2 linked regions of the Lepisosteus oculatus genome follow. The protein of the gene in region 2 purifies or fractionates together with the protein of the main gene of each other region. This does not show direct contact. Links are inferred from orthologs where the notes say so. Each region holds a gene or a part of one and is shown on either strand. Other genes may lie near its edges.

Region 1 (15,756 bases), on a different chromosome or scaffold from region 2:
AAATATACACCTCGTACACCTTGATTTACCACTTATCTGCACCCTTTGTTTCCTGTCAAATAACCAATTCCTAATCCAAGTACAGTACACGCATTCCCTCGAATATCTGCAGCCTTGGGAATTAATTTTTCATGAGGAACTTCATCAAAAGCCTTTTAGAAATCTAAATGTACCGTGTCATTTCTCTCTTGCATTACAGCTGTTTCTTGAGAACTCTGACAGGTTATTGTTTCCATATCCTTGCATGTAATATAAGAAAAGATTTATTGGTCTATAATTACTTGGTTCACTCTTTGTAAGGTCAGGCGCTATATTAGCAATTTTCCAGTCAGTGGGTATTACTCCTGTCTTGAGAGACTGTTGGAAGACTTATGATAATGGCATATGAATACCATCTCATGTTTCCTTAAGTACAACAGGAATAATACCATCAGGCCCTGGAGATTTATCTCAAGTGCTTCTAGTATCTGTAATTTGTCTGCCACTTCTATGCTAATATTATTTAATATAGGACCTTGTGTTTAGTTAGACTGGTAAGTTCTGTGTTCCCTCTTTGAAAAACACCTATACACGTAATCTGAAAGTTTCTTATTTTTTCTCTGAGATGCTTTATTTAATTTTTTTACTGTTCCTTTACTGTTATAATACTAAAAATTATTATTTGATGTAGATGTCCTAGCTTTTTTCTATTTTCTTCTTCTTGGTCTCTAATGCCCCTCTTAGCCTGTAGTTGCAATTAATTATACTCCTTACATTTAACCGGATCCCATTCTTCATTAAATGCTGTCGTTTACTGTATAAAGTATACTGCTTTTTTCCCTTATATTTTTCTTAATTTATTTATTTAACCATTTGAGCCAGTGCTTTCCTGACTTTGATGTCCATGTGGGATGAATCTTGTTTTGTATTTCAAGAAAAATGTTTTTTAAGACTTTGAAATCCATTTTTTGCTGATTCCAAAACTATTTGGAAAACTGTTTGGAGATTGGGAGGAGAGGCGGGAAAAGTCAAGAAAGCCCAAAAGCTAGACCTGGTATTGAAGTGAACTTCTTTGAATGGTTTCAGACTCACAGTGTTTATTAACATAGCCCCACAATTTTCTCTGTACTGATTCTGTATGAATAATATTGTTCAGACATTGGGAAACTATACCCTGTACACCTGTACAGGCTGATACCACACTGGACCAGCCTCCAGGCTGAAAATTCCAGCTACAATCCCAGCCTCCATGCTGAAGATAAACTGTGCTGCTACCACATCAGCTACCCTAACACAATGCAGGCTGTTTATTTTTTCAAATACAGCTACTTAGCTGCAGATCTCAGCCACATGGCTGATTCCCAAGCCTGCAGGACGAAGACCAGCTGTGATGCCACTGCTCTAGCCTCTCTATCATAGTACAAGCTGTTGATACAAAAATAGATCTACCAAGCTGAAGGCTCTATTTTTGTATCAGCTGCCTCATAAGCCTCTGGACTGAAATGACTATGCAGGCTGCTGGCTCAGCGACAGATCCACATGGCTTAAGACTACAGTCTCTTGGCTACCTACAGGCATCAGACTGAAGACATGTGCCTATGATGCTGGCTAAGCCAGGACAGGACATTGACTACTCCTGTTGCTGTGTCAAATACAAGCCAGATTGCACACTGTTCTAGCAATAAAGAACAGTTTGACTTAAGGACTGGTGTGTGGGGTGCGTCTTTGTAGAACTTTTGCCCCATGTGGGAGCTTCCCCATGTGGCATCACAATATATTGTAAAATTTAAAAACAAATGGTAAAAACAATTACAGTTTTTGCTGCAAGTAAAAGAAAGATAAGTAAATCACAGTTTATATATTTGAATATATTATTATCCTATAATTTCGGATGTAGCACTTTCATGAAACCTCCCAGGTGCAACTACCAAATCTGGGTACTTTAATTCATTTCAATTTGCTCCTGCCAATGACTGGAACAATCTGCAGAATTAAACATAAAATATCTTCTGTCATGTCTAAGGGTATTCTGTGCTTAGATCCTGTTATGGTGTTTACTTTTTATTGATTGTTCTTTTCTTTCTACTCTGCTTTGCCTTTTGTGCAACAATGTTGTAAGACTCAGTCTGGTTCCCATTGTAAATGAAAAATTGTTCTCAAGTGACTTGGCTGTTTAAATAAAAGACTATTATTATCAAGCCAGATTTGCAGGCTGCAGGAAATTTTGCAGAACTAAAAAGGACAGATCCCTCTTTATAAGTTCTTTTTGGCAGAGCAGCAAGGAGCTGTAAGCCAGTGTCTGTAAAGACCTAAACAGTATAGTAGATAAAGTAGAAAACTATTTATTGTACAGTGGGTGCTAAAGAGATGATACTATGACTAGGGTGTACCGCACCAGTCAGGGATATGGGATGTGCAAAAACCTTACCAAAGATAGTGTTATACAGTCCCTGGATGTGACTGATCACTGCAAAACTGTCAATTGACAACTGAAATATGACTTTCTGGCAGGTCTCCATTACAACACTATCTGTCATAGACATTCAGTTCCAGTGAGTTACTATGGATATACAGTACAGTAGCAGAACCTGTAGAGTGAAGCAGCGGAGGCAAACACTTTATTATTGTTTTCAGTGACTGTGTAACCAGATTTCCAGAAGCCTTTACTTTGCACAGTGTCAAAGCCTAATGCATGCTCTTGGTTTATTTATCTCAAGGGCAAACATACAAATAGAAATGATCACAGACCACATGTACAAGTTACATTTAGTTCGCTGAAACATGTTTAGCATATTTTGGGTATTTACCATATGTACTTTTCACCATGCCATAACATCCATTATGGCTGATGGGCTGGGGGAGCATTTCAATCAGACGCCAAGAACATGTGTGGATATTTTATTATCGGCAGAGACTTTCAGTTGCCATATCTGTGTTTCAAAGTGTCTCAAACCTCTACAGGATTCACTCGTGTTGAGTTACATTATCCCACCAGGGTGGGAAAGCCAAGAGAAGCCTTTTGACGTCTTCTTCCAATTTGCTTCTTATATTTTTTTTCATATCTTTAGATGTAAGCAAGGGTGACTTGTCCATAATTCACTGATTCTGTTTTCTCTACTTTTTTATGACTGGATAAAATAATTACAATTTTCTAATCAGGACACACAATTAACTGCAATAGAAGTCAATTGATTTATCTTACCAAGAGGGCTATACTGTAAATAAGGTGTGTTATTCCTTCAGGTCAATAAAAACCATCTGGTTTTATTTGTTTGTTTGAACCTTTCTTCAACCTGCAGCACTTTATTAATTTACTCCTTTTTGAACACCTGAGTAAATGAATCATTGAAATCCTTTACGTTTTCTATGCTTGTCTTTTATATTAAAACCATTTGTATCTCTATGACACCACTTCTTTCCTTTTCAGTCTTTTGCTGTTGTAATAATGTAAAAAGCTCTTGGACTTAGTTTTGCCTCAAAATCTGTAATCTTGTGTAGTAGTCCACTTTTCTGCATCTTGGTCCCTATAAAACATTTTTCTTGTTTTACAGTATATTTTTCTTTCGTAATCTATTGAACCATTTACACCAACAGTTCTGGGCCATGATTTGTCATATCACCCTACAACTCACAATGGGCTACCTACTGAACTTAAGCAGGTGTGAGCCTGGTCAGCACCTGGAGGGGAGACCTCCTGGGAAAAACTAAGGTTGCTGCTGGAAGAGATGTTAGTGAGGCCAGCAGGGGGTGCTGTGGTCTATGTTGGTCCCTAATGCCCCAGTAGAGTGATGTGATTAATTATATTAATTTTATCGATGGCTCTACAACTGAATTTTAAACCTTTAGCTGTGTATACCTTTCTGATTCCCTATACAGTATATTCTCAAATCCCTCTGTTTCTCTAGTATCATAAACCTTTCCTTAAATTGCCTTTGTTGAACGTTGAAACATACTTTGAAAATGATCATGTTGTGTTTATTCCAATGCTTCTCTTACTTTTACCTTTTTTACTCTATTTTGGTTATTTGAAAAGATCAGATCAATGCAGGCTCTAATCATTCACCATAGCAACATAATTTGTGCCCCAGTTGATTTATCCCTCACTAACCTATGGTATGCTAAAGTCTGTCTTATGGTTGACATAAAGAAATACATCTACAGTATGTGTTCCTAGCACCCCACTCTCACAAAGCAACAGGTATATCATGTTTAAAGCCTATCCTCCCTTAGTACACTTTTGTGAATGACAACATGTAACGGTATATTCATGCATCTCATTAAAGTCTAAGTACTGCAGAGTCCTTATCAGTTTCATTCTCATGGGTTGTACAGATGTGACAAGTTAAGAATATTATAAAACACATGTAGAATTTTCTAAATATGGAATTGTAATTTGTAAATATATTGTAACGCTTACGGCCGACAGGTACTGTGTAAGAGCCGGCTTACCAGAGCAGGTGACGTCACCGCCCTTCCCAGTAACAGCAGGACCACAGCCCCTGGGCTGTAGAGAGATCTCTCTTTGGCTCACTGGGCTGGTTCCCTGTTGAGTGACGCGGGAGTCCAGGGTTTGCTAATGCGGCAAGGGTGCCCGCCTGAACTCCCGTTGCGTTACAATATGTAATTTCACAGGCAAAAACATACTGTACAATGATTATATCACAAAAAATCTTTCTTTGTGATAATGTGATAATAGTTTGAGGAAGCCAACTAAAATGTATTTTGCCTCGCACATAAGTATCCAAAAAACATAACTAAAGCGTCTTCTTTGTTGGCAAATAGAATCTCTTTAGGCTTCATCTCCATCTAAACAAACGTGTTCTACTTTTGTGAAAATGGTGAGCCATGTCTTCATGTCTTCAGTAAATTCATAATATTTAAGTATGTAATAGATCTGCAATATTTATTTAAAGGCATTTGCTTGATGGTGAACCAGAATTATAACCATAGAAAGCATTTTAAATGCAGGATGCCCTTGTACTACTGCCACATGTGTGTTAGGTTGATAGTAACTTCAACAGGTGATAATCCCACAGTATATTTACAGTATATCTGATATGATGTCAAATGCATGGTGTCCTCTAAAGTCTCTCACTTGCTGGAATGTGCAGTTTGTATAAACAGATAAAACCATTCCATTAAAATTGGAATAGAGAAATATTATATGTACTTTTAATTTATATTAATCCAATTGGTAATGTTAATAGTATCAGATATCAATATTATTTGTGCCCCATCCTGTTTACTGTATATGAAGTAAACTTCATTTTCAAGAATAAAAAATCCAACAAATATTTTCAAGAATAAAAAATCCAGCAGAAACCAATCCAATTAAATATTCTACAGAACTCAGTACTGACAGTTTATATCTTTAGGATATTTTAGGCAAATTAACGCTGTTCCAAAAGGCAAGACGCCTTGGTTGCATAGAAACCTACTGTACTACTATAGTGCTACTGTAGCAATTGTTATTACTTTATTGCCTGAATTTTTAATGAAAAAAACTGTTTTCCACATAAACTGGGATATAGTGTTCAGATGCACGAGACTTGGCTAGTAAGACTTGGCTGCTACTAGTTAGGTTCGCAGGATCATTGTTTTAGATCCAACCACCACAGTTAAATGTATGACTATATTTCTTAACCAGGTTAATTCATAATTATAAATATCACTGTGATGCTGATCTATAATAAAACCAGCAGGCAGCAGTACTATACACAGAGCCACTGTACCTCCCAGTTGAAAACTTGAACACATAAATTTGCCATGAGGTAAATATGTCAGGTTCATCCGTTCAGTTTTACAGAGGGTTATATTTGCCTAACAGGGGGATTGGGGATACTGCATTTTCTGTAGCACTGCTGTCTCACAGCCGTGGGAACAAGAGATCACTTTCTGGCTAAGCGGCTCTATCTGTGTAAGGTCTGCCTGTTGTCCTCATGTCTGCATTGGTTTCCTGCCACATGCCAGAAGCATTCTGATTAGGGTAATTGGCCACACTAATTGGACAGCGTGATGTCATGTGTCGGACAGGGCAAAATTAACATAATCAAATCCCTTAGTAGGGAGGCATGATGGTTTGCAATGCTGCCTTGCAGTGTTAGAGCCCTGACAATATAGTTAAAAAATAGTACTTTGTTTTATAAAGAAAATAATTCATTGAAAAATAAACGATTCACTTACTTTTGGTGAGGATAAAAAAATAACCCCTAGATCAGGAAAGCTGGACTACACTAAAAAATATCTCAAAATATCCTGTTAACATAGTAGAAAACAAATAATTTACTTGTATCAAAAACACATTTGTTTTTCTCAAAGTTAGAAAAGTAATGCCTTGTTATTTTTCTTCCTCGAAGCAATTCCAGACTTGCCTTCTTGACAATATAAAAATGTAAACAACCTCAGAGTACCAAGTCTTTCTCTTATTTGTATATGTTTACGTCTCCTTCCCTAAATTAGAAAAATAAACTACAGGAGCTTGTTAAGCCTGTTTTATCTTCCTGCTTCTCCTTTCTCTTTCAGTTTCTCCCATGGAGTGATAAGTCTCTTACTTAACTCTTTACATTTTCCTTTGCCCTTCTTTTTATTGTGTTTCCTGTGCTTCACTATAGTTTAGATAATACAAAGTCCTTTCTTCCAACACACTCTCTTTATGTCATTTTCCAAATTGCATACTCACTGAAATCCATCAAATGTAAATTGTGTACAGTGGTGCATAATGAACCACTCTCTCGCTGTCATCCCTGTCATCATCATAGTCCTGTAATGTGTGCACACCTGTATAAATAGCTTGTTCCCCTTCTGATACCCTTGTGGCATTCTTTGTCACAACATGTCTGTTCTGGCATCTCAATGTGGTCAAAAGTCTCAGTGAAATCTATGACACTCTACCCAAAGTACCTCCCATTCAATACAGTGCCCCTAGTGGTATCACTGGTGCTGTCTGTGTGGAGTTTGTTTGTTCTTCTATTGTTCATGTGTTTCCTCCAGGTGCTCCAGTTTCTTCCCACAGTCCAAAGAGATACTGGTAGGTTAACTGGCTTCTGGGAAAATTAACCCTGATGTGAGTACAGTATGTGCGTGTTTGTTTCCTGCGTTTGTACCCTATGATGGATTTGTATCTCATTCAGGGTCTATCCCGCCTCGCACTCATTGCGTGGCTCTGGCTTCCATCGTGACGTGACCCTGTACTAGATAACGCGGCTTAGAAAACGGATGGATAGAAATCCCTTAGTATGATAAAGAGTACTAATTTCACCCCGTGGCAAAATAAAAATATGCTTATGCAATATGGAAATACAGGGACAGAAAGCAGCCTTATTGTTGTCCGCTCAATTACAGTTGCACCTCATACAGTACATACACACATACACAACATAGTTGTACCTGAACCTGAATATTTAGTCTTTTGACTTTTCTCTGTATCGTGGTGGCATCAAATACAACCATAAATGACAGTTCTTTTCCTTTCACAAAATTCAAAATGCCGTTGTGCAAAATGTGTGGCAGGACAATTTTGTGGTCATACTGTACATAGCTCTTGACTTTCCCCTGGATGTCAGAGGAGGCTATACAATATTTGACCAACCCGGCTCCTGCGGCCTGGATGAAATTAAGCAACAGGCCACATAGGTTTCCCACCACAGCATAAAGGAACAGACAGACAAGATGCTCTGTTTTATATGTTGGATCCTAGGTTTTAAACTTTAGATAGTGGACAAGTGAGGTTTTGATAGTATACAGATGAGAGCACAAGACTTTATTTAATACAAAAGATGCATTGTTTTTTTTTTGCTTCCTAAAAAAAGTAAAGAAGTGAATCTTTGTGTATAACTACAAATGCTTATCCTATAAACAATTTTTTTCAGGTATCCATTTTAACTGCCTTCAAAAAGGCACCAGACGTGGGGACCTTTAGCAGACCTTTCCAGGCAGAACTATGTGAGACAACCAGAATCAGTGAAGCAAACAATGAGAAAGAAGAAAGAAAAACATAGTTAAACAGATGGACAAGAAGTCTTAGCCTCAACAGTTGTATTGATTTTTTTTCAGTATCATTTAATTAGAAAGAGAAGCATTATTTCGCTAAATTGCTCTGGGTCAATGTAATACATTAGAAACTCATTTCATGAGGCACTGTGATGTTGTTTTTTATATTCTGGCATATTTCCATCTGCCTCTAGATTATTGTTATTCGTTGTTTAATTCCTTGATTGATTGGGAAAATTACACATTTAGATAATAGCAGGCTCCTGTTTTTCCTGACCTTCACCAGGAGATTCTGATGACGGGTAGGCAGATAAAACTTTTCTTAACTTTACACATATATTCACGTATTGCATTCTGTTTTTTAAACTTGATTTTGTGTTCTTTCTTTGGCTGTTTTACTATTAATCACGCTAACTGCCTACTACTGGAAAATAAGGTGGCACATACAGATGCCACATGCAGTACACATCTCACATCTTTAACATTTCTTGTTGTTGAAGCATTGTAGACTAAATTATGTGCAGTACTTTTAGAATATCTATTTAAAGATATTTTAATAATAAAGAATGTTTACAGTACTTCAATTGTCATTGTCAAAGACTAATCATTTTAGGTCAAAGACCAAAAAAAAAACATTTGCAGGATATTTTTCTTTCGTTTGTACAGTATGCTTGGGTCTTGTGACTTTGTGAGAGCTCTACCTAATTGCATTACTAAACAGACGTTGCTGCTTAATTTAAAAAGACTCATTGCAATGCTTCTGTGACCAAACACGTTTTACAGGTACATCCGGGTGTCTTCTCCTCAGTTTCTGAAGCCCATCAATAGCAGCTCCCGCAGGCACGCAGGGAAGATGATGTCACACTGCGTAGCGACGGTAGGAAGTCAACGCATAAACAATATGAGGGAAATAAGAGGGAGTTGATTCTGCTCTGTGTGTTATAACAATACGTCAGTGCTGACAGAAAAAAAAAAAGAAAATTATTTTAGGACATGGGTCCTGAAAAGACACGGGTCTTTAGGGCTAGTTTGTTTGTATGCATCTTACTGCCTGTACTTTTGCCTCCTGTTGCCACAGTTGGCCCGTACAAAGCTCCGTCTACAAAGATCCAGGTGGGCATCAGCCAAAACACCGGCAATGCCAGCAGCGGTAATACCAAAATGAATACGCACACAGGCTCCGTTGGAGTCAGGGAAGGCAAAAACAACAGTACGGGCGACTTCCAGAGCACCAGCCGGACTGTGGCAGCGGAGCTGGCCGCGAATGACAGCAGACCGATGTCCATTCAGAGGGCACTGTATGTGCTTGTGGCTGTCAGCGCTCTTGTCATCGTTTATTTCGTCATCAGGACTGTCAAGTAAGGACTGCATCATAGTTTTCCGATTGCCTAAGCTACTTTTCTGTTTTCTTAGATGCTTTTGTAATGCGACATCCTCTTTAAAAGCGGCGACAGAGTTGCGATGAGGTTTTTGCTTTTGTTTTGTTTTCACAAATCCTTCGCAGTTTTATATCGCTGTTGTCTTTTGCAACATCGTAACATTTTGGATTTAATTATTTTTGTTTGGTACTGGTTCAGAACACTCATCTGAACATGGGTTGGTTGAACCAGTTACGGGCATTTTGTGGACACGGTTTTTTTCTTCTTCTTCATTAAATTAGGGGCTTTGAGAGTAAAATTTAAAACCGAACGATCTGAAACATATATTTTTCAGTAATGAGGCTGGTGCCGATTTATACCTTATTATACTAAACTTACAAACAAAACTGCAGTTTGAACTTTAAAGAACTGCCTAAAGAGGAAAAAATATCTGTAACCTGTGTTGTGTGACTCCTGTCCTCTTAGAAACTATTGCCTTGATCTGGATTGAATTAATGGAAAGGTTTCAGGCGAGAAAAAGACTAATCAGTGTTGATTCATTTATCTGAAATAAATTGAAATTGATCTGCTTGCCCACAAAAATAAGCATTTTTATTTATATTTATCTGCTTTAAGCTATGTATTATTCCTCTGTTGTATTTAGGACTGTGTCCTAACCACAGTAACAGTATTCATAAAACAGCGTTCAACTGCAAGACAGACTTGTGAAACACAGAAATGCAAATACATTCAATACCCTTTATAATGCTGTATTAATCAACATGTAACAATACATCTCCCATACATTTTGAAATGTATTGACTACCCCTATGTGCTAAGGAATTTCACATTATAAGTTCTGGCCATCTTTTAGTATCCAGTTAAAGTAATGCTACAGTACAAGTACAAATAAAAGATATCTTGTATATACTGTACATACTGTACTGTATGCAAAATTAGGTGCATCTTCTATTGTCTGTAACATTATGTATGATTAAGTCAAGTGTGGTTTCAAAGTGGTAGACTAAACTACAATGCCATTTAAATCAAGTTGAAATCACATATTTATTTTTCCACATGGTCACTTTTAATACATTTTTACTGCTTTTTAATTCACTAAATAGGGAAGACAAAAGAAGTTCTAAGATGACTTTCCAAAAAGTGAAAATGATATACAGTGCCAAGAAAAGCTTTATGAACTCTCTAGGTTGGTCCATATTTTTGTATATTTTACAACTGCAAAGTAATTAAATCCTCATGTCCTCTTGGAAGTCTCAATAAATTATAAAGCAAACTTCGTTAAACATGGAATGCAAAGATATATTTGTATTATTTAATTAAAATAACCCATTGTGGGAATACATTAGGTTAATTAAGATTAGATTCATGTCAATAAATTAGATTCAGTTTCTGGCAGCACCTCCTGAGCAGCGATGACTTCAGTTAGACATTTTCTGTAAATGTTTATCAGTCTCTTACTGCTTCAAGTCCCTGATATTTCAGGGTTTCCTTGCGTGAACAGCTCGCTTCAGGTCATGGTACAACGTTTAAATGGCCAATTCGAATGCAAAATTTCTTCTTTAGCCATTCTGTTGGAGACCTGCTTGTATGTTTAGGATTGTTGTCTTGTTGTATGACCTCTTTTCAGATCAGCTTCAGGTGATGAATGGATGGCCGGGCATTCTCCCCCAGAATTTGCCAATACAGTGCTGAATTAATGGTTTCATCAAAGATGAGGGACATCAATTGTGTTGCAAGGAAGCATTTGGTTTTCACAACACAAAACATTTCTAATTGTAGTAAAAAAATTCAATTTTTGATATGACGGTCCAGACAACATTCTTATAGCAGTATTGTGGATCAACCAGGTGCACTTCAGCAAACTTGACATGGCTGACATGTTATTGTAGAGAGCAATGCTTTTTTCCCCATGACATCCATATCCTTCCAGTTTTATTTCTGATGGTTTAGGCAGACAGACACTTACAGATCCTTAGATGTTTCTCTGGGGTTCTTTGTGAATTCCTCGATGATTTACAGGATTGTTGTTGGCAGGACAACCTGCCAGGTCCTGGGATAGAGTCACTGTGGTTTCAGATATTTTCCATTTCCCGAATGGATTAATGGAGCCCCAGAAGTTTAGAAATGTTTTAATGAATTCTCTCCAGATTGATGAGCATTAACCGCTCTTTTCCTGAAGTCCTCTGAAATTTATTTTTGATTGTGTCGTGATGCGTTTCCTTTATCCTGTATGGTGTAAACCACACTCTCAAAGTTTCTGATTATTTTTAGACATTTTAAGACAGGAGTGCCCAAACTCGCTTCTTTTATTTATTCATACCAATGCTATTTACTTGTGCTCAGTAAACTAGGGTTCACTTATTATTTCACATACACTGATTAAGTTTTCATTTTTTTCTGCTTCATGTATTTTTGCATCTAAAAAAATATCGGATTGGTAAAATCTTTTTAGGTTATTTAAAATCCATTTCAATGGTAAAATGGTAAGAAATTGTAATTCTCCATTGGTTTTACACAAACCAATTCATGGCACAATATTACAATTCATTCAATTGATTGTAGGACATCAGTTTGCACAATAAAAAATGAACTCCCAAAACACAGACACCTCTACTTAGGAAGCAAATAGGAAAGTCTTTAAATTTAATTTTCATTACGTGAAAACTGTCCCAACTGATTAATGTACTCTGGAGTGGGCACTTTGCCCACAGTTTGCCCAAAGGAAAAATTAAACCTATTTTGATATTAATGACTAGAACTTGAGGCTTTATTTTTTCTGTTATTCTTTTCTTTTTGTTTTATCCCTAAGCCTTTTTTATTTTGTCAGAAAAATGTATTAGTGTTAGAAGAATGAAAAATGTTAGTACTATAATTTCTACAGATGTACACTTTAACAGGGTTTTGATACCTCCGTATTGTACTTGAAATTCATATTGAAATTTGCTACTGGTTACTTTTATGAACATGCTAAAGTAGATTTCTCGGCTGAGGTCTTATACAGTATGTGCTCTTCAAATACTGCTACTGTGGCAGGTTAAGATAATTTTGCTCTCTTGCCTTGCAGTCAGAAGACTTTTTTTTAAAGGATTAGTAGCACATTTTGGAATTCTGTCAAGCAATACGTTCTGTAAGCGTGTTCCACTGCTAGGATGTGGCATGTAAGTGTGGAGCACTGTGAACATATTGTAAAAATGAAGCCATGAGGTTATCATAGTTAACATCAAAACCACCATGTGTTTGAAGTTTGCGTGTATTTTGTACTGAAGATCTTTTCTTCTTAATTCAGAATGAAAAAGAACCGTAAAACAAGGAGGTATGGAGTCTTGGACACAAATCTTGCCATGGAAATGACACCATTGGAGCAGGACGAGGATGAAGACGATGATACCACATTGTTTGATGCTCGTATTTCAAGGAGGTAAGCATGATTAGGATCGGTCTGTGTCTTACTGATTACACCTTGTAAGGTCATTGAAATACCTTTCTAACAGCCTTTGTATGATATAGTCTCATAATTTTGAAAAATGTATTTCTAAAAAAAGAAATATAACTTTTAATAAAGCATCCTGTATTCATGGAAGTTTTTTTTGTTAAGCTGTTTAGTGCTTCTTGTAACTCAAGACTGATTTTTGTGATGCTGCTAACTCAGTATAATTGTGTACCTTTTTATAAGTAATGGCTGATTTATAACATATTAAGAAGAGCGAAGTCTGGAGTATTGGCTATGATTCCTACCAAGTTAGAATAATGCTTTGAGTAAAGAGTCTACTGTGACTCATTATGATTTTACTAAATATGATATGCCCCTATGGTTATATTTCAGAGCACACTTGCTAAGCACTGTACATTAAGAGAAACAACTGTGCTTTCTTTTGTTCTAGAGCTGTAAAATGATACTTGGTATGTAAATCAGGGCTGTCCAAACCTGCTCCTGGAGGGCTGGCGTTTCCATGATTTTTATTTCAAATCAGCTTTTAATGAGCTAAACCAGATGGTTTCTGGCTTAACTGAACTCATTTAACAGCATCTCCAAGCTATTCAGATCCTGCAACTTTCGAGTGACCTTGAAAATCTGCAGACACTTTGGCCCCCCCAAGACAAGAACTGGACACCTCTGGTGTAAATACTTCATCTTCCAGTTATGAAAGAGGCTCTTGTCAGTCACACATTGAATGCAGTGCCTATAAGTGGGTTTTTTTTGTTTGTTTTCATAAAAACTCTCACAATGCGCTTCTAAGACTGTGACAGTGTGTGTCTGTGGAAATTGATTTCTGTTTATTTAGTTGATGTTTACAGAAAGGGAAGTCTGGCTGTAGGTATGTCCTAGCAAGTAGCAAGAGTATGATTTTCCTACCCTAAATCCTGTAAGTACTAAAAGGGACTGACCCAGTCCAATGGCAGTAGCCAAGTGTATGTGATAGGTAGGAATATACAGTATAGTATACTGGCCAGTTCTATAGCTGTATCTGTCCCTGGCCAGACTACACACTGAAGTGATCTTTCATACAATACACACATGATATTATTTTGATCATTTTTTGTTAAACTGCTTTAATTTCTACAGGGACATTATTTAAAAATGTAAGAATTATTATAAAACCAAATGGCACCAAGGGGAGTATCAAACCTCTAATAATGTCAATCAAAATTTGATTCATATATCTTAATTTGATTTTTGATTTTTGATATATGATTGATTCATATACAGTATACATATTGATTCATCGAAATATAAGCTACTGAGCCTCCCTTCCAGGGGAGAGTGATGTTCCCTGTTTGTCTGGTGTCCCTGGTTGGATAGGCTCTGGCTTTGTAGGAACCCTAACTAAAATGATTTAAATGAATGCATTTTGCTTTGCGCTGTTATGAAAATGAGGCCCTAAATATGCATACAATGTTATACAGAAATACCCAAACTTAGCAATGTTACTGATTTCAGCAATGTAGGATCATATGTAATATAACTTATATAACTTAAACATAATTTTTTTTTTAAATTTAAATGACACTACTCACCACCTGTGACTCTTAAATACATTCGTATATCTTCATGACCAGGGCTCCCCTTTCTTCCTTTTTTGAGGTTTTATTTGTGCAACAGGTGACCAGATTATTCTTAATTGTTACATCTACTGTACTTTATCCATATGGGATTACATCTTTTTAGTGCCTTTTAACTAATAGTAGAACCTTGTTCTTGTTCCCTTTTTTTATGTAGTAAATGTTTTAGTCTGAGATGTCTTTACACTGTCCAATTGTTAGCCTTTAAAACCAAGGTGCGGGCAACATGAGTTTCAGAATGTCAAATGTATTGTATTGTAAAAATACAATTTGATAAAAATTGAACAAGCTGTGACCTCATTACAAGAAATACACCCTATATAACACCTGCAATGTAATTGTCAGTAGCTCAGGATGAACAGGATGCATCCTAGCCTTTGTCACAATTGTATGGGTCATGAAATTTGTGGAAACCCAGGAAAAATCAAATGTGTTTTTCAGACCTGAAGGTCAGAATATTTTCACAGATTCAAGTTCTGGCCATGTAAAGTCAGGGAACCTTAAATGTAGGCAGGCATACTACGTAATGGTCAAACAGTAAGGTTCTTGCAGACTATTAATTCACACTTCTCAAAAAGAGGTTTCTATCTGTAAATCTGTTATTTCCCAGTCACAGAATATTTCGACTTTGAATAAGGTCAGTCTATCAAGCTTCATTGGTTTTCAGTTTATTGCTGCTGTTAACAGTCACCTGTTAACAATGCATGTCATTGGTTGATTAGTAAAACTGAAATGTGACAGTGAAGTTGAACGTTTTTAATTTATATCAGTACTACCTGTATATTGTATGCTATTATATTTAAAACTTAAACCTACAAAAAATGCTGGCTAAATAACCTTTGACGTTGCAGCAAATAGATCAAATTGATCAGATAAGATCACAAATTGTGTGTTGATTGAAAAAATAGGGCATTTTTTTGCAGTGGCAAGGGAACATTACAACTGAGCTGCTGTTTGAACTTCAAACATTGATCCGGTTTAAAAAGGTGGAATAAAGAAATAAAGCACAAATACAGTATGATCAAGTTTCTGAGTGACAAAGAACTGGTGATGATAACCAAACTCTTCTGGTGCTTGAAACTTCATTGTTCTTTTCAGTTCTACAAATTGCCAGAGTCTATGGGCAACTGTCAGTTCCATGATATGATAATTCATTTTATTTTAGTAAAGCATATTTCCATTTTTAAAAACATTAATTGTCATACTGTACAGATGTGTTTCCAGTCTTTATTAACTTTCACTGATTTTACATTTAGATATAAATCTATATGTGTGCTTTGCTCTATGTTATGCATATACTGTATATTCTAGAAAAAATAAAGTAAAGCCTGCAGATTTTGGGTAATGT
Region 2 (15,065 bases):
CGACTGGACCAGGATGGCGAGAGAGAGACAGGGGACAGCGGACAGGGGGACAGTGGACAGGGGGACAGTGGACAGTACCTTCCTCTTGGTGCAGCCCGACTGGACCAGGATGGCGAGAGAGAGAGTGGACAGTGGACAGGGGGACAGCGGACAGTACCTTCCTCTTGGTGCAGCCCGACTGGACCAGGATGGCGAGAGAGAGACGGTGGACAGTGGACAGGGGGACAGCGGACAGTACCTTCCTCTTGGTGCAGCCCGACTGGACCAGGATGGCGAGAGAGACAGTGGACAGCGGACAGTGGACAGTGGACAGGGGGACAGTGGACAGTACCTTCCTCTTGGTGCAGCCCGACTGGGCCAGGATGGCGAGAGAGAGAGTGGACAGGGGGACAGTGGACAGTGGACAGTGGACAGGGGGACAGTGGACAGGGGGACAGTGGACAGTACCTTCCTCTTGGTGCAGCCCGACTGGACCAGGATGGCGAGAGAGAGAGTGGACAGCGGACAGTACCTTCCTCTTGGTGCAGCCCGACTGGACGAGGATGGCGAGAGAGAGAGTGGACAGTGGACAGGGGGACAGTACCTTCCTCTTGGTGCAGCCCGACTGGACGAGGATGGCGAGAGAGAGAGTGGACAGTGGACAGGGGGACAGTACCTTCCTCTTGGTGCAGCCCGACTGGACCAGGATGGCGAGAGAGAGAGTGGACAGTGGACAGGGGGACAGTGGACAGGGGGACAGTGGACAGTACCTTCCTCTTGGTGCAGCCCGACTGGACCAGGATGGCGAAGTCTCCGATCTCGTGTGGGACCTCGTGCAGCAGGATGGTCACCGTGGTGACAACCCCCACCGCGGGGCTGATCAGGAAGGACGCCCCGATGGCCAGCCCGTCCGTGAAGTTGTGGGTGAAGTCGGCCGCCAGGTTCAGGTACCCCGAAACCTTGATATCTGTACAGGCAGAGAGACAGGCTCAGACGCCCCGAAACCTTGATATCTGTACAGGCAGAGAGACAGGCTCAGACGCCCCGAAACCTTGACATCTGTACAGGGAGAGAGACAGGCTCAGACGCCCCGAAACCTTGACATCTGTACAGGGAGAGAGACAGGCTCAGACGCCCCGAAACCTTGACGTCTGTACAGGCAGAGAGACAGGCTCAGACACCCCGAAACCTTGACGTCTGTACAGGGAGAGAGACAGGCTCAGACGCCCCGAAACCTTGACGTCTGTACAGGCAGAGAGACAGGCTCAGACGCCCCTAAACCTTGATATCTGTACAGGGAGAGAGACAGGCTCAGACACCCCGAAACCTTGACATCTGTACAGGGAGAGAGACAGGCTCAGACACCCCGAAACCTTGATATCTGTACAGGGAGAGAGACAGGCTCAGACACCCCAAAACCTTGACATCTGTACAGGGAGAGAGACAGGCTCAGACACCCCGAAACCTTGACATCTGTACAGGCAGAGAGACAGGCTCAGACACCCCGAAACCTTGACATCTGTACAGGGAGAGAGACAGGCTCAGACACCCCTAAACCTTGATATCTGTACAGGGAGAGAGACAGGCTCAGACACCCCGAAACCTTGACATCTGTACAGGGAGAGAGACAGGCTCAGACACCCCGAAACCTTGACATCTGTACAGGGAGAGAGACAGGCTCAGACACCCCGAAACCTTGACATCTGTACAGGCAGAGAGACAGGCTCAGACACCCCGAAACCTTGACATCTGTACAGGCAGAGAGACGGGCTCAGACACCCCGAAACCCCATTATCTGTACAGAGAGACAGAAGCCCATGAACACACCGCGAGACCAGCTTCCACAGACTGTCCCTCAAGTACCTGTCTGTCTCTCCACCTCCTGCTCCTTCCTCTGCTCCTGGGCCTGGCTGTCGGTCTTCCTCTGCCTCACCCCCTCCTGCTCAACCCTCCCCCCCTTCTCCTCCGGCTTCTCCGGCTTCTCCGGCTTCTCCGGGGCTCCTGGGGGGAGAGAGGGACAGTGAGAGAGAGGGACCGGGAGAGAGAGAGAGGGGGAGAGGGGACAGTGAGAGAGAGGGGACAGGAGAGAGAGGGGGACCGGGACAGGAGAGAGAGGGGGAGAGGGGACAGTGAGAGAGAGAGAGGGGGAGAGGGGACAGTGAGAGAGAGGGACCGGGAGAGGGGACAGTGAGAGAGAGGGACCGGGAGAGAGAGAGAGAGGGACCGGGAGAGAGGACAGTGAGAGAGAGGGGACAGGAGAGAGAGGGGGAGAGGGGACAGTGAGAGAGAGGGGACAGGAGAGAGAGGGGGACCGGGAGAGAGAGGGACCGGGAGAGAGAGAGGGGACCGGGAGAGAGAGAGGGGACCGGGAGAGAGAGAGGGGACCGGGAGAGAGAGAGGGGACCGGGAGAGAGAGAGGGACTGGGAGAGAGGACAGTGAGAGAGAGGGACCGGGAGAGAGAGAGGGACTGGGAGAGAGGACAGTGAGAGAGAGGGACCGGGAGAGAGAGAGAGGGACCGGGAGAGAGAGGGACCGGGAGAGAGGACAGTGAGAGAGAGGGACCGGGAGAGAGAGAGGGACCGGGAGAGAGAGAGGGACCGGGAGAGAGAGGGGACAGTGACCTGTACCTACCGTGGGTGTGAGAGTGGGAGTGGGAGTGGGCGTGGGCGTGCCCCCCCTTCAGCAGGCGCACAAACTTCTCCACCACCAGGAAGGCCACGATGCCGGCCAGCACCCACAGCCCCACCGACATCATGTGGCCGTGAGCGCCACCTGCAGGGGGAGGGAGGGGACAGCGCCGCCTGAGACACTGCTGATCCCCCAGTCTGCACCCGCTTCCAGGAAACACCCCCCCCCGCCCGCCCGTCAATCATACCCGAGTGGGAGTGTCCATGGTCACCTGACTCCTCCTGGCCCTGGGAGTGGCTGTGTCCCTCCTCACCGTGGTGCGAGTGAGGCTCTGAAAGAGAGGAGTCCAGACCCTCACACAGAGCCCTGAGACACTCCTCACGCAGAGAGAGGAGTCCAGACCCTCACACAGACCCCAGAGACACTCCTCACACAGAGAGAGGAGTCCAGACCCTCACACAGACCCCAGAGACACTCCTCACACAGAGAGAGGAGTCCAGACCCTCACACAGACCCCAGAGACACTCCTCACACAGAGAGAGGAGTCCAGACCCTCACACAGACCCCAGAGACACTCCTCACACAGAGAGAGGAGTCCAGACCCTCACACAGACCCCAGAGGCACTCCTCACACAGAGAGAGGAGTCCAGACCCTCACACAGACCCCAGAGACACTCCTCACACAGAGAGAGGAGTCCAGACCCTCACACAGACCCCAGAGACACTCCTCACACAGAGAGAGGAGTCCAGACCCTCACACAGACCCCAGAGACACTCCTCACACAGAGAGAGGAGTCCAGACCCTCACACAGACCCCAGAGACACTCCTCACACAGAGAGAGGAGTCCAGACCCTCACACAGACCCCAGAGACACTCCTCACACACAGAGAGAGGAGTCCAGACCCTCACACAGACCCCAGAGACACTCCTCACACAGAGAGAGGAGTCCAGACCCTCACACAGACCCCAGAGATACTCCTCACACAGAGAGAGGAGTCCAGACCCTCACACAGACCCCAGAGACAATCCTCACACAGAGAGAGGAGTCCAGACCCTCACACAGACCCCAGAGACACTCCTCACACAGAGAGAGGAGTCCAGACCCTCACACAGACCCCAGAGACACTCCTCACACAGAGAGAGGAGTCCAGACCCTCACACAGACCCGGAGGCTCACCCAGCGCGTGTGGGATCAGGTGCAGGAAGGCGTCCCCCAGCAGCCCCCCGGACGCGAAGCTCAGCAGGACCTTCAGCAGGCTCTGGTGCTGGTCGGTGTTGGACTGGACCGGTATCAGGAAGAGGATGAGGAAGGGAGCCGCGCTGATCAGCAGGGTGGCGCCCACAGCCTGGCCAGGTCAGAAGGGGACAGGCCGGGTCAGAACCGGACAGGGCGGGCCGGGTTGGCGCCTCTCAGCCGACCAGAGCTCGGCGGTGTCGGTCTCGCGCTCTCTCTCTCTCCGTACCTGAGTCCACAGCTCCAGCGTGCTCCTGCCGTCTCCTGCTCCTCTCTCCCGTCTCGCACTCCCGTCGGCGAGCGCGTCCCCGTGCGCGTGGGGCTCAGAGTGAGCGTGCGCGTGCGAATCCCCGTGCGAGTGGGCGTGCGAATCCCCGTGCGAGTGGGCGTGCGAATCCCCGTGCGAGTGGGCGTGCGAATCCCCGTGCGAGTGGGCGTGCGAATCCCCGTGCGAGGGCAGGTTGGCCTCGGCGCTCCACTTGCTGGCGCCGTGGTGCATCTTCCCCCCCCCGTGCGAGTGGCCGTGGCAGCCGCCGCCCCCGTGCGAGTGGGAGTGGGAGTGGGAGAGCGCGGGCTGGAGGAGGGCGCCGGCGGCGAACAGCGCCGCCCAGAGGACAGACAGGCGCACTGCGCCTCTCCCTGCCATTGTCATCCTTCACACCTGGGGGGAGAGAGAGAGAGAGAGACAGGACTGGACCTGTAATTAACGCTAACTAACCACCCCAGCCTGCTCGCACCCTGGGCCTGCGGGTCACAGAGCTCTTTGCACACAGGAGGGGACCTGCACCAGTAACCCCACCTGGGAGACGCTCAGATACCATTGTGCACCAGTAACCCCACCTGGGAGACGCACAGCGATCAGTCTGCACCAGTAACCCCACCTGGGAGACGCACAGCGATCAGTCTGCACCAGTAACCCCACCTGGGAGACACACAGATACCATTGAGCACCAGTAACCCCACCTGGGAAACGCACAGATACCTTTGTGCACCAGTAACCCCACGTGGGAGATGCACCAGTAACCCCACCTGGGAGAGGCACAGAGACCATTGTGCACCAGTAACCCCACCTGGGAGACACACTGCGATCATTGTGCACCAGTAACCCCACCTGGGAGAGACACTGCAATCATTGTGCACCAGTAACCCCACCTGGGAGACACACTGCGATCATTGTGCACCAGTAACCCCACCTGGGAGACATACAGCGATCAGTCTCCACCAGTAACCCCACCTGGGAGACGCACAGCGATCACTGTGCACCAGTAACCCCACCTGGGAGACGCACAGCGATCAGTCTGCACCAGTAACCCCACCTGGGAGACGCACAGCAATCACTGTACACCAGTAACCCCACCTGGGAGACACCCCTCGACCCCTGCACCCCTGTAAGATCACAAGCACACCAGCACCATCCCAAGTCCTACTGATAGCAACACCTCTGATGGACCTGCGCTGGCCAGCGGGTGTCCCCCGGCCCGGGGCCCTGCCGGACTCTCCACACGGATAAACCCGCTCCGAGCCGGGGAGAGGCGCCCGCGCCGCAGGAACATGAACTCCTGGGTGTCTGCATCCACGCACACGCACAGACAGACACAGAGACAAACTCTCGCATCAGCACGGGTGCGTGTGTGTGTCTGTGTGTGATAAATGAGCGCACCTCCCCGGCGAGGGTCACCCTGAGCCCGGACGTGTGTGTGTCTGCGACAGCTCGCTCACCGGTCCGGAGAAGCAGGCCGCCCCTGTGCGTGTAGCCGGGTTTCTGATGCGCGGTACTCCGGCTCGCCGTGTCTGTCTCTCTCTCTGTCTCGGCACAGACGTGGCACAGCAGCCAACACAGACTCTCGCGAGATTTCCCTCCCCCCCCCTTGACAGCCGGGCAAAGGCGGCGGAGATCTCGCGAGACGCCCCTGGCCCGGATGCCGGATGCCGGATGCCGGATGCGGGGGGCGGAGACAAAGGGGGGCGGGACACGGGGCTGTCGGCAGCGGCTGGCTGGCTGGTGGGGGAGGAGGGAGCGGTACGTCAAGGCTCCGGTTCCGGGCTGGCGCGGCGACCGCCGGCGCTTTGGTTCCGGGCGCGTTTGTGGGTCCAGGCCAGCTGAGCTGAGCTGAGCTGAGCTGGACACCGCCAACGGGCTGCCTCAGAGCGACAGCATGAGGTGAAAATCAGGGCACGGACGGAGCAGTGTAGTCGATAAGTGACGTAATTACCCCTAATCCCCCACCTGTAACTGACTGGACTGGGAGCTGGACTAGTTCTTCACTGGGATTATAATCAGACTCCACTGACACTGACAGAGCAGTCTGAGACTCTCCAGGCTGGACTGGGAGCTGGATTAGTTCTTTACTGGGATTATAATCAGACTCCACTGACACTCTGAGACTGAGACTCTCCAGGCTGGACTGGGAGCTGGATTAGTCTTTCACTGGGATTAATCTGGATTCCTTGAATAAGACTGAGACATCAGCTATGAATAGAATAACATTTATTACAAATATACAGATAATATTGACAAATCACCTCCATCATATTTAATACTTTGCTCGTGCACATGTGTGTGTGAGGAGTGTGTGTGTGTGAGGAGTGTTTGTGTCTGTGTGAGGAGTGTGTGTGTGTGTGTGTGTGTGTGTGTGTGTGAGAGAGAGTGTGTGTGTGTGTGTGTGTGTGAGAGAGAGAGGTGTGTGTGTTTGTGTGTGAGAGAGAGAGGAGTGTTTGTGTGTGTGTGAGAGGAGTGTGTGTGTGTGTGAGGAGTGTGTGTGTGTGTGAGAGAGAGGAGTGTTTGTGTGTGAGAGAGAGGAGTGTTTGTGTGTGAGAGAGAGGAGTGTTTGTGTGTGTGAGGAGTGTTTGTGTGTGTGTGAGAGGAGAGTTTGTGTGTGTGTGAGAGGAGTGTTTGTGTGTGTGAGGAGTGTTTGTGTGTGTGTGTGTATGTATGAGAGGAGTGTTTGTGTGTGAGAGGAGTGTTTGTGTGTGTGTGTGTGTGTGTGAGAGAGAGGTGTGTGTGTGTGTGTGTGTGAGAGAGAGAGGTGTGTGTGTTTGTGTGTGAGAGAGAGAGGAGTGTTTGTGTGTGTGTGAGAGGAGTGTGTGTGTGTGTGAGGAGTGTGTGTGTGTGTGAGAGAGAGGAGTGTTTGTGTGTGAGAGAGAGGAGTGTTTGTGTGTGAGAGAGAGGAGTGTTTGTGTGTGTGAGGAGTGTTTGTGTGTGTGTGAGAGGAGAGTTTGTGTGTGTGTGAGAGGAGTGTTTGTGTGTGTGAGGAGTGTTTGTGTGTGTGTGTGTATGTATGAGAGGAGTGTTTGTGTGTGAGAGGAGTGTTTGTGTGTGTGTGTGTGTGTGTGTGTGAGAGGCTCCACAGTCTGATCCTCCTGGTCGAGTGTGACCAGAGACCGAACGCTGAGATTCTGGGGGCGCGGGACGAGACCATCTGCCCCGTGCCCGCAGGAACATCGCCCCAGGGGTGTGAGGGGACGCCCCAAAAGCCCCGCGAGCAGAGGGGGGGGGGTTAGTTAAGACAGACGATGAAGTCCTTAAGATACGAGTCAATGAAGATAAGAGCCAGGCTGACCCCCGACCCCCGACCCCCGACCCCGAAGAGACCCGAAGGGTTAAAACTATTTCGATTGACAACAAACAAACAAGCACAGGAAATAAGAGAAGGCCCCCCAGCACCCCGGCCCCCCGCATCGAGGGGGAGGGGGATTCTGGGACAGGCCGGGGGGGGGGGCGGTACCGAGACCGAGTTCCGGTTCTGGAGCGGCGCGGACGCAGAGCCCACACGCACAAGCGCGTCACCGCGCGCGGCGGGCGTGTTAATACAAGAGGGGTCAGGGGTCGAGACACGCCAGGGGAGGGGGGGGCGCCCCCCCGCAGGACGACACCTCGCCCGCCCCCCCGGCCCCCCCGGCCCCCCGCCCTCAGATGCTCAGCAGCCAGAAGAAGAAGAAGATGGCGACGAAGAGGAACAGGGAGTCCTGCCAGCTGTTGCCGTTGCCGGGGTTACCGTTGTCCGGGTAACCGCCGCCTGGGTGGGGAGTATCTGGGGGCGAGGAAGAGAACCCCCAAATCAGAACAGATTCCAGCTGGAGAGTCGCTATATAACCTCATGATACTGAGAGCACAACACACACACACTCCTGTACAGACACACACACTCCTGTAGAGACACACACACACACTCCTGTACAGACACACACACTCCTGTAGAGACACACACACACACTCCTGTACAGACTCTTACTGGACACACTGTAGAGACACACACACTCCTGTAGACTCTTATTGGACACACTGTATAGACACACACACACTCCTGTAGACTCTTACTGGACACACTGTATAGACACACACACTCCTGTACAGACTCTTACTGGACACACTGTATAGACACACACACACACTCCTGTACAGACTCTTATTGGACACACTGTATAGACACACACACACACTCCTGTACAGACTCTTATTGGACACACTGTATAGACACACACACACTCCTGTAGACTCTTACTGGACACACTGTATAGACACACACACTCCTGTACAGACTCTTACTGGACACACTGTATAGACACACACACACACTCCTGTACAGACTCTTATTGGACACACTGTATAGACACACACACACTCCTGTAGACTCTTACTGGACACACTGTATAGACACACACACACTCCTGTAGAGACACACTGTACCTGCGCGGTGAAACGGGTCATTGGTGTTGAAGACTGTAGTGAAGAAACCAAAGGGAAACGCACCAATACCGAAGGACATGTGGAACCCAGTGTCACCGAAACCCTGGAAGGGCTGAGAGAGAGAGAGGGGTTCATACACTCCAGTACATGAACACTGCACTGAGAGAGAGAGGGGTTCATACAGACACACTGACTGGACACTCCAGTACATGAACACTGCACTGAGAGAGAGAGAGGGGTTCATACAGACACACTGACTGGACACTCCAGTACATGAACACTGCACTGAGAGAGAGAGGGGTTCATACAGACACACTGACTGGACACTCCAGTACATGAACACTGCACTGAGAGAGAGAGGGGTTCATACAGACACACTGACTGGACACTCCAGTACATGAACACTGCACTGAGAGAGAGAGGGGTTCATACACACACACTGACTGGACACTCCAGTACATGAACACTGCACTGAGAGAGAGAGGGGTTCATACACACACCCTGACTGGACACTCCAGTACATGAACACTGCACTGAGAGAGAGAGGGGTTCATACAGACACACTGACTGGACACTCCAGTACATGAACACTGCACTGAGAGAGAGAGGGGTTCATACAGACACCCTGACTCAGTGACTCACCCCTCTGCTCTCCGGCTCTGGTCTCTGTCCCTGAGGTCGAGGAGGAGTTTTCAATCTATAAAAACACCAAGAAAGAGTTAATTCATGAAGCTGAGCAAAGATACCAACAACTGGAAAACAGGAAACCTCCTGAGTCTTTCAGAAGACCGGGTTTCGCAGTGCTCTGTGGTCCGACTGTTACCACTAGACAACGGGTCAGATGTAAAACCTGGAAAGGAAGGGACTGCTGTGCAGCTGGAGTCTATGAGCACTAAAAACCTGCCCCACTTCACTCAGACAGACACTGGCGCACAGTGGACACACAACGGACAGGACAGGACAGTACCGTGGGTCATCCTGACTTGAGCTCCCTCTTCCATACAGAGGAATAACGTTCTCCCGGCTGATCCCGGCCTTACACACTGGACACTGCTGTCTGCTGGGGCGGGTCTCCAACCACTGAGAGAGAGAGGGGTTAATACACTCCAGGACATGAACACTGACCTGAGAGAGAGAGAGACTGACTGGACACTCCAGGACATGAACACTGACCTGAGAGAGAGGGGTTCACACACACACACTGACTGGACACTCCAGGACATGAACACTGCACTGAGAGAGAGAGGGGTTCATACAGACACACTGACTGGACACTCCAGTACATGAACACTGTACTGGGAGAGAGACAAACTGACTGAAAGTTACATTAAACATACACCAAGGAAGAAATTAAAAAAACACTTACTTGGTGTAGACATGGCCAGCTGTTTCATGAAAGAAAGCAAAGAGATTTGCATTTAATTTCAGAAAGGTTACAAACAAGAAGTCACTATGCACATTAGACCCGTTTGGTGGGTCAGTAGCTAATTGATCAGAGGAATTCATCCAGCTGTTCCACTCCCCCACCCCCCTCTGTGTACAGAAGAGCCTCCTGTCCTGACTGGAGGAGCTCACCCAGCTGTGTCTGGAGAGAAGCCAGGGTATCGGCTTCAACCACAGGGCTGGGCAGCCTGTTCCCCACCCCCACCCCCCTCTGTGTACAGAAGAGCCTCCTGTCCTGACTGGAGGAGCTCACCCAGCTGTGTCTGGAGAGAAGCCAGGGTATCGGCTTCAACCACAGGGCTTGGCAGCCTGTTCCCCACCCCCACCCCCCTCTGTGTACACACACACACAGACAGTGTCGCTGCCTCTGAGCCCCGACCCCAGCTCGCACCAGAACAGATGTCCGCACAGGCTGATCACCGCGTCCCTGGCCGTGTCCAGGCAGATGTTACACTCGAAGGTGGCCCGGTCGCGCTCCGTGTCCCGGCCCAGCCCGCCTCCCGTCCCGCCCCGGTCGCCGTCCTCGGCCGGACCGCTGTCCGCCGTGCGCCTGGGCTCCGCCGCCATGTTTGTTTACCTGCCTGGCTCGCTCGCTCGCTCGCTCGCCTCCGGTCTCTTCCGGTTTCCGCCGGTGACACGCCGGGCCCGTAATTCACCGAGTAGAGGCGCCTCCCGGCTTGGCGTCGAGCATGAATGGGTCGCGATTCTTTCAGAAATGCGTTTATCCTGCGCTCTGTTTTTATCATATTCAGGTTCCCCACACTTGTGCTGTGCTTTAACCCTGCTCTCACTGGGCTGTACTGCGCTGTACTGTGTTTTTACCCTGCTCTCACTGGGCTGTACTGCGCTGTACTGTTTTTACCCTGCTCTCACTGGACTGTACTGCACTGTACTGTGTTTTTACCCCGTTCTTACTGTGCTTTACTGCACTGTACTGTGTTTTTACCCTGAGCTCACTGGGCTGTACTGCGCTGTACTGTGTTTTTACCCTGATCTCACTGGGCTGTACTGCGCTGTACTGTGTTTTTACCCTGCTCTCACTGGGCTGTACTGCACTGTACTGTGTTTTTACCCTGCTCTCACTGGACTGTACTGCACTGTACTGTGTTTTTACCCCGTTCTAACTGTGCTTTACTGCACTGTACTGTGTTTTTACCCTGATCTCACTGGGCTGTATTGCACTGTACTGTGTTTTTACCGTGATCTCACTGGGCTGTACTGCACTATACTGTGTTTTTACCCTGTTCTTACTGTGCTTTACTGCACTGTACTGTGTTTTTACCCTGTTCTTACTGGGCTTTACTGCGCTGTACTGTGCTTTTAACCCTGATCTCGCTGGGCTTTACTGCACTGTACTGTGTTTTTACCCTGATCCTACTGGGCTGTACTGCGCTGTACTGTGTTTTTTTGCCGTGAGAGAAGGAGAAACGTTGTCAGGTTTGTCAGAAACAAAAGACCCCAGTTCATCAAAGTGTATCAAACTCCTACACGTGATTGGAGCTATCTGTCTATTTAAATTAAATCCATATTCATGAATAATGTGTCTGTATCATGAATTTAATTAAACAGACGTTCATCCCGACATTTGTGTGCAACTTTTCTTCTATACAGGACGAGACGACACTGCTCTAGCGTGTATGAAGTGACTCGGTTTTCCAGCGTCTTTGGAAAGAAGTGTTAAGTAGACGGAGCTAAGACGATCTTTCTTTGCGCTGAAATGTGGAAACGAGGTTTTAACAGTGTACGGTAGCCCACCAGCGAGCATCCTTCCCTCCGACATCGGATCTGGATGTTCATTGGACAATCCTGCCGCCACTCAAACCTGAGCCCCTTTCGCTGGGACATGATTGGACGAGCTGCCGGAGAACCGCCTCTCTTTCTAAAGGCGATTGGGTAGACGTCACGCCACTCAATTCGGCCTCGCCGCCTCAAACGGGGGGCAGGTGGGCGGGGCGCCGGGGTGGGGGAGGGGCGGTATCGCCCGACCTGCCCCGGCGATTGGACGCCGCGGATGTCCGTCACTCTGCAGCTCTGCCGCTGGACAGCTGGGTAAGTAATGGCGAGAACGGAGGCCGCGAGCACGGTCGCTTCGCCCCGACAGGCCCAGGTGACAAAACTACATTTCCCAGCAGGCTTTTGGCCTCTCCCCCCTCTCGGGTCCGTCGCTTTGGCCAGGTGCTGGAGCCTATCCCAGCGGGCAACGGGCGCAAGGCAGGACAACACCCTGGACGGGACACAAGTCCGTCACTGAACACACACACACACACACCAGGGTCATTTCTTCAGAGAAGCGACCGGACCGCGGGAGCAATCCCACGCGAGCGCGGGGAGAACATGCAGGCTCCACACAGACAGCGCCCCCGGGGGTTGGACCCGGGACCAGCGCGCCGGTGTGCGCCGCCGAGGTCCCGCTCCACCCGTCCAGAATCCCCCGGGCCTGGGCCGGGCTGGGCTGGGCCGGACTCGCTCTGGTCGGACCCTGTTTCCAGCTCCGCGCCCGATTATACGTGCCTATTTCCTCGCTCGATACGTCGGTGTCCATCGCTGTCCGGCACACGCGTGTCCTGCGAGTCAGATTCACCCCCCCCCCCGACCAGGCGTCCGTGCGACCCCCCCGGGAGACGCGCATTCAAAGAGTCCACACGTACACGTCTCCGCTCTGTTCCCGTCCCGCTGACTCCCGCTGACTCAGCGGGACGGGAACAGAGCGGAGACGTGTACGTGTGGACTCCCGCTCGGCAACAGCTGAAGAAACAGAAATGTTCTCTTGTGGCGCCCTTCCTGCACGAGGTCCCTTTTTGTGGGAGGAATTTGAAGCGGCCGGGATGTAGGGCGGATTCCCACTGGATGAGCGAGGAAGACACTCGCAGACACGCTGGCCTGGAGACGACCCCTACACGTGTGTGTGAGACTGTGTGTGTGTGAGAGAATGTGTGAGAGAGAGTGAGAGTGTGAAAGAGAGTGTGTGTTTGTGTGAGAGTGTGAGATTGTGTGTGGGTGTGAGAGTGTGTGTGAGAGAATGAGAGTGTGTAAGTGTGTTTGTGTGAGAGTGTGAGGTTGTGTGTGGGTGTGCGAGTGTGTAAGTGTGTTTGTGTGAGAGTGTGAGGTTGTGTGTGGGTGTGAGAGTGTGTGTGGGAGTGTGTAAGTGTGTTTGTGTGAGAGTGTGAGGTTGTGTGTGGGTGTGAGTGTGTGTGTGAGAGTGTGTGTGAAAGTGTGAGGTTGTGTGTGGGTGTGAGAGTGTGTGTGAGAGTGTGAGATTGTGTGTGGGTGTGAGAGTGTGTGTGAGAGTGTGAGAGTGTGTAAGTGTGTTTGTGTGAGAGTGTGAGGTTGTGTGTGGGTGTGAGAGTGTGTGTGAGAGTGTTTGTGTGAGAGTGTGAGGTTGTGTGTGGGTGTGAGTGTGTGTGTGAGAGTGTGTGTGAAAGTGTGAGGTTGTGTGTGGGTGTGAGAGTGTGTGTGAGAGAATGAGAGTGTGTAAGTGTGTTTGTGTGAGAGTGTGAGGTTGTGTGTGGGTGTGAGAGTGTGTGTGAGAGAATGAGAGTGTGTAAGTGTGTTTGTGTGAGAGTGTGTGAGTGTGTGTGTCTATATACTGTATCTATGAACAGCGGCGGTTGTTTTCAGTAACAGGGTGTCTGACCACCGGGCTGATTCTGAACAAGCTGCTCAGTGCGACCCGATAGCCTTGTAACAACAACAACAACAACAACAACAATAATAATAATAATAATAATAACAACGACGACGACGATGACGATGATGATGATGATGATGATGATGTTTATTAATTGTATGGGGGTTATTATACATTTGATATTTTCTCTCCCTCCCTCCTTCTCTCTCTCTCTCCACCAATTCCGTTGGGTTTGTTTTTCCGAAATGTGACAAAAAGGCCGGTTGTGCGCATTTCGGACCCGGCCGGTCTCAGTCACAACCGGCACCTTCCGGCCCGGTCCGGCCATGTCCGGTCCGGTCCCGTCCCCCCCGGCGCCTCGCAGCCTCCGCAGCTGCATAGCAACAGTAACCAAGGACCCGGTGTCTCGGTGAAGCGAGAGAGAGAGAGGGAGAGAGAGAGAATTGAATTGAGAGAGAGGAGAGAGAGAGAGAGAATTGTATTGAGAAAGAGAGAGAGGAAGAGAGAGAGAGAGAGAGAGAGAGGAAGAGAGAGAGAGAGAGATGGCCTCTTTCATCGCCGCCCCGCGGCTCTCCTGTCGTGCGATCTGCCCCCCGTCTCCCTGCGTGCTCGTGTCGCTCCTGGGGGGCCTGAGTGTCCTGTAATCGCCATGCTGCCGGACTGACCCCGCCGACCGGCGACACGGGAGCGAGCGGCACCGAGCGGTACCGGTACCGCCCGGCGCAGCCCCGCCGCGAACGGGTCCCTCCTCCTCCTCCTCCCGCCGGCGACACGGAACGGACTCGATCCGCCGCCGCCGCTGTTGTTGTTGTTGTTGATCTCCGCGGTCGATGTTTCTGCGTCCAGGGAAGACAAGACACAGACAAGGCAAGACAAGACAAGAGCAGACACAGCGCGCCGTTCCCACCCGTTTTCCGGGTGTCCGTGTGCGTGTGCGTGGATCTATTGACGGGGCTCCGGCTGGACGGCCGGCGCAGCCCCGTTGAAACCCGACCACCGGACCGGACCTCTCGGAGCCCGGAACACGTCGTCTCTCCTGTTCGGGGTTTTTTGGTTTCCTCCTGCCGAGTCTCGGCCTTCCCGCGGCCGCCGGAGAGGTAAGCGCAGCGGGGGGGGGCGGTCGTGACGCTCCGGTATCCCCCGGGGCCGTGTTTCCGTGCGGCTCGGGAGAGGGACAGCTGTCCAGGACCGCGGGACAGAAACACTGGGACGCATCGCCCGTGGCTTCGCGTGGGATCGCTGACCGCCGTGGGCAGTGGGCTCGGCTTAGTCTGGATCTGATTATAATAACCCATCCAGCTCCCAGTCCAGTCCAGTCCAGTCCAGTCCAGTCCAGTCCTGTCCAGTCCTGTCCAGTCCTGTCCTGGAGATTCTCAGCCTGCTCTGTCAGTGTCAGTGGAGTCTGATTATAACCCCTCTGTCTCTCCCAGGATGGAGCTGTGCTCAGTGCAGTGTGTACTATAC

Evidence for each region.
Region 1: the proteins of slc39a7 (region 2) and membrane protein FAM174 purify together in Homo sapiens (co-immunoprecipitation; 3 studies listed by BioGRID and IntAct, with this or other methods). This does not show direct contact. The link is inferred for Lepisosteus oculatus from reciprocal best matches to the Homo sapiens genes SLC39A7 and FAM174A.

What each region holds. Positions count from the first base shown.
Region 1 is NC_090698.1:55,260,099-55,275,854, forward strand, and holds the start of membrane protein FAM174, read left to right. Parts: upstream 1-8,633; 5' UTR 8,634-8,961; coding exon 8,962-9,326; intron 9,327-12,633; coding exon 12,634-12,765; intron 12,766-13,228; coding exon 13,229-13,241; 3' UTR 13,242-15,756.
Region 2 is NC_090709.1:39,103,199-39,118,263, forward strand, and holds the start of slc39a7 (zinc transporter Slc39a7), read right to left. Parts: upstream 5,682-15,065; 5' UTR 5,504-5,681; intron 4,505-5,503; 5' UTR 4,496-4,504; coding exon 4,073-4,495; intron 3,956-4,072; coding exon 3,787-3,955; intron 2,940-3,786; coding exon 2,856-2,939; intron 2,753-2,855; coding exon 2,612-2,752; intron 1,981-2,611; coding exon 1,843-1,980; intron 947-1,842; coding exon 750-946; intron 1-749. Other genes in the region: E3 ubiquitin-protein ligase RNF5, read right to left, coding at 7,753-7,874, 8,531-8,642, 9,173-9,227, 9,498-9,610, 9,897-9,915, 10,365-10,540. UniProt on the Homo sapiens protein: Transports Zn(2+) from the endoplasmic reticulum (ER)/Golgi apparatus to the cytosol, playing an essential role in the regulation of cytosolic zinc levels.